Linked DNA regions of Mus musculus. The protein of the gene in region 1 purifies or fractionates together with the protein of each later gene. This does not show direct contact. Links are inferred from orthologs where the notes say so. Each region holds a gene or a part of one and is shown in the gene's direction. Other genes may lie near its edges. The genes, in order: Tmub2 and Rnf185.

Region 1 (4,256 bases):
TACACTGGTTCTCTGTAAAGTTATTTTTGGTGCTACTTCACAACTGTAATTTTGCTACTCTTATGAATACTAATATAAAATCCGATATGCGACCTCTGAATGAGTCGTTAGACTCAAAGGTTGAGAAAGGCTGCTTGCTCTTCTACATAGTGAATCAACAATCAAACAAAACCAAAAAAAAAAAAAAAAAAAGGAAAAACTAATCCAGGGTGATAGACTTGGAGAGATGGTTCAATGGTTAAGAGCACTTGTTCTTCTTGCCAGAAGACCTGAGTTCTCTCCCCAGCACTCAAGACTGGCGATTTACAACCTCTTGTAACCCTAGCTCATGGAGATCCAATGCCCTCTTCTGGGCTCTGCAAGTACCCACACACGCGGCATACACATAGAAACAAGTAAAAGAAAAAAAATCCTTTCTTAAGAAGGCACTCTATTTGTTTTTTGTTTGTTTGTTTGTTTTTCGAGACAGGGTTTCTCTGTATAGCCCTGGCTGTCCTGGAACTCACTACTTGTAGACCCGGCTGGCCTCGAACTCAGAAATCAGCCTGCCTCTGCCTCCCAAGTGCTGGGATTAAATGCGTGTGCCACCACTGCCCGGCTGAGGGCACTGTATTTGTATCTCTTTAAAATGCCTTCCCGCTTCATTTATTAAAGCTATACGAGGTAGAAATCTTCAAGTACTTAAGACTTTAATTTGTATTCTTGCCCATCTCCTCGAGGAACAACTGTCTTAGAAGTCAAAAATAGCAGACTTTACCGCTCCCAACCTTGGAGCCTGGTGTGCATTGGCGAAGCAGTAATGAATCTCATTAGCTCTGGAGCTAGAGAACCAAACCGGAAGGAAAAACCAGGCGGGAAAGAAGGAAACCTAGCGGCGGGTGGACCAGGAGAGCTTGCCAGGGCAATCGTCTAAGCATGAAACCACGCCCCCCACAAACACCTTCCCCCGCCTCTTCTCTTTTGGCCCCGCCTCCGACCTCCAGGAGGTCCGAGGCCACGCCTAATGGGCGTGGTCTTACTGCCGGAGGTCCGAAATCCCGCCAACAATGACTCCTCCCCTTCTGCCGCGGCGCAACCTGGCCCTTTTATTTAAAGATTACGTTTACGTCAGTCCGCCTTACGTAGCTTTGCGTCATCAGTACAAGGCGGGGAGGCGGGACTTCCTGTCCTGGATGTTAACAGCTTCCGAGAAAAGCCGGAAGAGATCGGACCCTGGACAGAATCCTGAGTTGCCAGCCCCTCCCCTGACCCCTACGGAAAGAGAACTACAAAGACTGTCCTGGCGAAGTCAAAACATTTATCCTGGCTTTGTCAGGTGAGGCTTTCCTTCCCCATCGAGGCACAGTAACCATCCAAACCCCCTTTAATCTCCCATGACTCCTCGCGTCCTCAAGCTCCGCCCCCTCTCCTCTGCCCCGCCCCGAAGTTTGAGGGGTGTGGATGGTTTGTGACCCCCCTACCTCCCGACCCTCGCTTCTTCACCTGACCCTAAACCATCACTGTCCCGGAGAGTCGGGCTTGGGCACTGCGACCGAAACCCGGAAGCTCCTCGGCTCGGGGGTGGGGTGGGGGGTGCTGATGGACTCCACTGCCAAGGGAATAGGACCTTTCAGACGCAGAACCTTCACCCCAGAAAAAAGCACGGTCGGGGACGACTCCCCACAGTGCGGTCAGGATCGTCCACAGGCTGAGGAGAAAGCCGAGGCCTTGGTCAGACAGATGCAGGTCCCCTATCTGGCCCCTGCCCGCGGCAGTTCCTTGTGTCCTCCGCTTCCATCTGTCTTTGCCACAGTTTCCTTTTGTGTACATCACGGTTCCTGACACTAACCTGACCAACAGGGGTTAGTTATGGGAGTGAGACGTAATTGCTATCATTTGTTTATTGAACAGTGTTAATTATTTTTGCTTCGATGATTTCACGTCTTCTTCAAAACAACCTTATGAGGTAGGTAACCATTTTAAACCCCACTTTACTGTTGAGAAAGCTGAGGCTTTGAGAACGTTGCTGGACATTGCATAGCTAGAAGAGGGGCTAGACAGTGACCCAGAATCGCTTCCCTGACTCCAGGGCCAATCTGTGTAAATAAGGCTGTGGAAACGCTTCTGAGAGTGTTGGTGTGTTCTACAAATATTCCTTGAGCAGCTACTGTGACATTGCATTAAGAGCTTCAAACAAAGAGAACTACCCTCGGTTCTTATCTTCCAGGAGTCAATGAAGAAATGGACAGGTTATGAGTGTAATGATGTTTTGTGGGTGCTGTGAGAGTAGTCTGATGATGATAATCACCAGATGGATTTGCCCAGAGACAGCTGTGAACGTAGATTCTCCAAGGAAAAGAGACGGTACTCCGAGGAATATGCAGAGAGCCTCCAATGCTTTCTCAGAAGCCGCAGAGAGGGAAAACCTTCATAGCACAAGACAGATTGAAAGAAGGATAGTGGGAACCGTTGGGAAGTATTTCCAAATAATTTCTACTTGGGCAATGGTTTTCTTGAAGCTGTCTCGTGTAGCCTTAGGCAGCCTTGAACTTGCTAAGTAGTGGAGACTTGTCTTGAACCTTGTATCCTTAGTTCCTTTATTTCCCAAGTTCTGGGATAACCAGGGCATGTAGAACAGCGGTTTTGCAGTTATAAAGCCAAGCCTATGGAGACTAAAGCGTGTAGTGTTTCTGGTGACTGTCCTATGTGGCTCCCCAGAATTTGCCAGAACAGTTTAATAGACAAACATGTCTGCTGATAGTCCCAGTACATTTGTCCATTTGAAGTGATCTGATCCTATCCTTGATAGATCAGAGTATATTTATGTATTTGGCTCTTGACATCTGGGCATGAATGGGTGTGTGGGCATGAATGGGTGTGTGGCCATGAATGAGATGTAATCCAAAGGAAATCTGGCAAGGGTGGCCGCACAATGCCCATTAAAGAGTCTTTCTAATCTGAAGCTACCACTGAGGCTGCTGGGTGCATGCAGATGTGCTTGGTCATGTGTTAGGAATCCTAGAGAAACTCCAAGCTTAAAGAAGCAAAATGTAAGCCGGGCAGTGGTGGCCTTTAGGCCCAATACTCCGATAGGGGCAAGTGATTTTGAAGCCAGCCTGGTCTATAGAGCGGTAGTTCCAAGACAGCTAGGGCTACACAGAGAAACCCTGTCTTGAAGAGAAGCAGCAAATGTTCCTTCTCCATTATTCTCCAAATACAAAAACAAACAAGTGAGCAATCAGCAGCTGGTAACAAGGTTATGAGGCTTTTCTGGTGACCCATGCTTCTTATGAGCACAGAATCTGAAAGCTAGAGTTTCACGGTAAAGGCAGAGGGGCCAAGGGTAAGTCAGTCCTTAGCTTGAGATTGAGGGTCTACTACTGTTAGGAAATTGGCTGGCTGCCCTTCCTACACAACACCAAGCCCCCATCCTTTTTTCCTTTTTTTTTTTTTTCTTTTTTTTTTAACCCCAGCCTGCCTCAGAACCTAAACAAAGTAGAAACCTGACTATAAGCCCTCAGGCCCTCCTAATGCTATCCCCCTTTGTTCCTGCAGCGTGGACCCAGTCAGCAGCCAGGCCATGGAGCTCTCTGATGTCACCCTCATTGAGGGTGTGGGTAACGAGGTGATGGTGGTAGCAGGCGTGGTGGCGCTGACTCTAGCCCTGGTCCTAGCCTGGCTCTCCACCTATGTAGCAGACAGTGGTAACAACCAGCTGCTGGGCACCATTGTGTCAGCAGGTGACACGTCTGTTCTCCACCTGGGCCATGTGGACCAGCTGGTAAACCAAGGCACTCCAGAGCCAACCGAACACCCCCATCCATCAGGGGGCAATGATGACAAGGCTGAAGAGACCAGTGACAGTGGGGGAGACGCCACTGGAGAACCTGGAGCTAGGGGAGAGATGGAGCCCAGCCTGGAGCATCTCCTGGACATCCAAGGCCTGCCTAAAAGGCAAGCAGGCCTGGGGAGCAGTCGCCCAGAAGCCCCGCTGGGGTTAGATGATGGCTCCTGCCTCTCTCCCAGCCCCAGCCTCATCAATGTTCGCCTCAAGTTCCTCAATGACACCGAGGAGCTAGCTGTGGCCAGGCCAGAGGACACTGTGGGTACCCTAAAAAGGTGAGTAGGCCGGAGAGAGGCCAGTTGCTCGTGACTTGTTCCTCAGATGATGGTTTCCTGAAGAAGCTGTGCATATATGTGAGCACAGGAGGGATTTTAAGGGGAAATGGAGACTTCCATAGACAGACCTTCAGTGTCTTTCATGTCCAGGCCTTGAT
Region 2 (4,329 bases), about 99 Mb from region 1:
CCCGTTTTCACCTCCCTCCCTTCCTTCCTCTCTTCTCTCCCTCTCTCTCCCTCCCTTCCTCCTACTCTCTGTTTTTTGTTTTTGTTTTTTTGAGCTGGGTTTCTCTGTGTAGCCCTGGCTGTCCTGAACTTGCTTTGAAGATCAGGCTGTCCTGGAACTCACAAAGATCTGCCTGCCTCTGCCTCCCAAGTGCTGGGATCAAAGGTGTGCACCGCCAATACCACCTGTCCTTTTCCATTTCTTGATAAGTTGTCTAATTTTATTCCATGCCTAGTTTAAAAGGTGTGACCTTTTCTCCATCTTCTGGCAGCTGTTAGAGTTTTCAACTAGCCTTGATTGCTTTTTTCAAACTCTAATAAAGTTGTCCTGAGCTTCCTTTGAGTCTCTTCTAAATTCTTGTATTAATGATACTAAGAACCCCCCAAAGAATCTTACTTTTTCCAGGAACAGAAGGAGGAGGAGTATTCTGACCGATCCCTCAGGTCCCCCACAGGTGGAGCTAGAGATTGATAAGGTCAAGGACTCTGGGGAGAGGATGCAGGCTCACCTGCCATCTGGCGTTTGGGCTTTCACACTGGCAAGCAGAAGCTGAAAGCCATCCAGTACAGGATACAAGGCCGGTGTGCCAGCCCTACCTCAGCTTACACACAGGAATGCTACTGCTACTGCTTGTCCGAGGCAGGACGGAAGTCCCTTCTTGTTCTACAGAATGAGGTGTGCCGGCTCTCCACCCCCCACTCCCCCCACCCCTGCAACAGCACAGCTATGCAGCTTTGTAGGAGCTGCACAGCAAAATCACTCACCTGCACTGAGCACTGTTGCACTGGACTCACATGTTTTTATATATGGAAAGCTAAAACACCAATTTTTCTAGTTATTTTTAAATATAATAAATGCACTTGCTACTGTAAAAAAAAAACAATCCCTCATTGGTTACAAGTTCATCTAATTAGTTTTAAAATAAATTACCATGTATTTATTAAGTGTCTCTGTATACATGTGAAGGTCTGATGACAACTTGCCAGACTCCTTTCCTTCCACCGCTGGGTTTCTGGGGACTGAACTAGAGTTGACAGGCTTGGCAGCAAACATCTTTACCTCTGAACCATCTCATGGGCTCCAATTAGTTATACTCTTATTACCTTTATTATTTTGATACTGAAATTTCACAGATTTGGCTAGTAGAGTCTTCAAGAGAGCTCCTGGGTCGTTTTGCACATTCTCATCCATCACCACTGTTAGCATTCCTTCTAGGCTCCGCCCCACAGTTACCTGGCAACAGCGAGGTATGCCCGGCTTACTATAAAAGGGGCTGTTCGCCCCCTCCTCTCCCTTACTCTTTGCCCCCTTCCCCCTCCGCCCTCTCTCTTCACGCGTTCCTGGCCGGCCTCTCTCCCTTCTCCTCATTCTCTACTCCCTTTCCTACTCCACTTCCCATGCCTCCTCCTCCTGTTCTTCTTCTTTATAAAACAGAACAACCACTGACCTTACTTTCTTGTACAAGGCATTCCAAACTGGTATTTCTAGAACTGGCTTTTTCATCCGCCCATTATTTTTGCGACACGGTCCCATGTATCCCAAGCCTGCTTCGAAAACGACATTGAAGTTCTGACCCATCACCCGAATGAATGCTATGATTAGCTGGCGGGTACGCACATATTTATTCCCACGTCTTCACGCGGGCGAGGCGAGCTCGCCCATCCACCGAGCTGCCTTCCCTCCTCTTCCAGCGCTAGGAAACCCTACGGAAAGACCAGACGCCCTCCCCTTCCTGTCCCGGGGCGGAACTTACCAGCCGGGCGCCTGGGCCGGAGAGCAGCGCTGCACACCAGCCTTTTCCGGCTGGAACCGGAAGTTGTTCTACTAGAGGCGGCTCCGCGTCAGGTGACCAAGTTCCCGGTAGGAGGGGTCGGAGGTTCAATCTTTCTGACTGACGCGTCTCTAAGACTGGCTCGGCTACTCCGGGACGGGGGAACGGACAGCTGGCGTCGCTGGCGCTCGCTCTACCGCGGCGGCAGGTAGGTGACGAGCTGGGACGGCGGGCCCGGGAGGCATGGGACCCCCTTCCCAGGCTCAGGGATCTGAAGCCAAGGGCCAGGAGTCATCCAGTCTGGCTCTGTCCAGGTCCCAGAAGGAAGGTCAGACTGGCATCCGTGGGTACAGATTGGGCAAACTAAGGCCCCAGAAAAGGGAAAGAAGGGTGCGCACAAGCTCCCCTTCCAGACGGGGCTCGTCCTGACTCCCGTAGCCTCGGGGGCGGGACCGCCTCTCTCGTGGGTGGCGATTTGGTGGAGTGGAAAGATGAGGAATGCGGTGAACAGATTTGGGGTGAAGCGTAGGAGACCTGGACTTGAGTTCGCTGCCTGCAGCTCACTGTGCGTTCGAGGCCAAGTCTTTGACCTCCCTGAACCTAGTTCCCACAGCTGTACAACCGGGCACAGCTGTCTCAAAAGCGTGGGCCTCCACAGCACCTGCTCCGAAACCCTCCGGGATGCCGGCTCTCCAGCCCTGGGCTTTTCCCACAGCTTGTTTCGAATCTGGGTCTGGATCCTAGGAAACCTTATTTTGAACGTTCTCCTCTGGAGTCCTACTCGTGTTTGAAGCCTGCTCATCCGAAGTGCGGTCCCGCTGTGAATGCGGTACTCGATTCGAGGCAGCTGGAGCCGGCTCGATTCTATGAAACTTCTAGCTTAGGAAAGAACGCCGGAGGAGAATAACTAACTATCTTTAAAAGCTGGCGCGGGGTGGGGGTGGGGGTTGGGTGGGGGAGTTATGGCAAAGAGGCCTCCTGCTTGATCTTTGTAGCTGAAAGAGGTACAGCTACGATTAATAGGTAGGTTCTAGGGGGAAGACACATGTGTACTTACTATTAAGAATTTAACGGAAGAATTATCAGAGGTGACGACTGATGGGGATTGACTGTCTCCTTGGGAAAGGAAGTATACAGGAGGCGGCCCTTTCCAATTTAAAAGGCTCGTATTAGTATTTATTGTGACTCTTACCTCTCCACTGATAACTCTGTCTTCAGAGTGTATGTGATACTTCTTTTGTGGTCTGAGACAGGGTCTCAGGGATCTCAGGCTGTCCTCAAGCTCCTTTTGTAGTTGGCCTTGAACCCGGATCCTGCTGTTTCAGTCTTAAAGAGTGCCAGGATCACTCGTTACTTAGTACCATTATGCCTACAGAATGTGACATTTCTTTGTCTTCCCTTCTGGACTCTCCTCCCTAGTTTATATCTCCTATCAATAAGGCCAGCACACTTGATCTTATGTAATCTTTTACTGGTTGTCACATTTGTCATCCTTCTTTTCATCATCCTTTTTGGAATGATCCATTATCTGATAAAAATTATCCAAAGTATATGTTGTATTAATAAACAGGAAATAAAAATTAATTAACTAAAATTAATACATTGGTCAGTTAGTAATTTTTGTTTTACATTTAAGTTTTTAAAATTTATTTTAAGTCGGGGTCTCACTCTGACATTCAGCTCAGGCTGAGAACAATTTAGAAAGTCAGTCTCTGTCTGTCTTATCTGTGTCTCTCTGTCTTTTTCTCTGTCTATCTCTGCTCTCTTCCTCTCTGCCTCCATCCCTCTCTTCCTTTTCCAGAGTATTATTATGTAGCCCAGGGTGACTTCAAACTGGTCCCCCTGCCTTAGCCTCCCAAATGCTGGGATTGCTTGTTTTGCCCAAGGCTTTGCTTGCCAGTGGGCTCTGATTACAGAATGGAAGGCCAATTCAGTTGTTTGGGTCAGTCTTCTCTCTGGTTTATAAACTGAACTTTAATTCTTTGTCTAGCAGTGTGTGTATAGGTGTGAGAGTGTCTGCAGTTTTTAAGCTAGCTTTCTGGATGCCCAGCACATATGACCAATTCTTTTATGGTCCTGACTTGCATACCTATAGCTTTGTAATCTAACTTTAGATTTCCTTATTTTGCACTTTACCAGACACTAAGTAGATAACTTTTCCATCTCCCATTAGAGTACTTAAGAATGCTTATGTTGTCTGGAGAAGCAAAGATTCCATATTATGACCCAATTCTGCTGACACTTCCTCCACAAAACAAAAGGTTGGGGTTGAACCAAAAGTTCCTGCCTGTTTTCCTGTTGTTTATGTTTCTCAAGATTAAAAAAAAAAAACAGTTGTGAAATGGTCATTCAGTTGTTACCTAACATTCGAGATGGTTTGGCCTTAGACTCTATTGTCATCTCGGTGGTAAGGAAAATGCTCTTAATTTGTTGGATTTTTAAAAACTTACTAATTTGGGGGTTTCTTTTAAAGGGATACTTGATTGATGTAAATGTGTTCTGCTGGCCTGTGAAAAATA

What was found.
Region 2: the proteins of Tmub2 (region 1) and Rnf185 purify together in Homo sapiens (affinity purification with western blotting; 3 studies listed by BioGRID and IntAct, with this or other methods). This does not show direct contact. The link is inferred for Mus musculus from reciprocal best matches to the Homo sapiens genes TMUB2 and RNF185.

What each region holds. Positions count from the first base shown.
Region 1 is NC_000077.6:102,283,774-102,288,029, forward strand, and holds the start of Tmub2 (transmembrane and ubiquitin-like domain-containing protein 2), read left to right. Parts: upstream 1-1,177; 5' UTR 1,178-1,315; exon of another isoform or gene 1,316-1,890; 5' UTR 1,891-1,910; coding exon 1,911-1,945; intron 1,946-3,534; coding exon 3,535-4,098; intron 4,099-4,256.
Region 2 is NC_000077.6:3,449,898-3,454,226, reverse strand, and holds the start of Rnf185 (E3 ubiquitin-protein ligase RNF185), read left to right. Parts: upstream 1-1,270; 5' UTR 1,271-2,018; intron 2,019-4,329. UniProt on the Homo sapiens protein: E3 ubiquitin-protein ligase that regulates selective mitochondrial autophagy by mediating 'Lys-63'-linked polyubiquitination of BNIP1.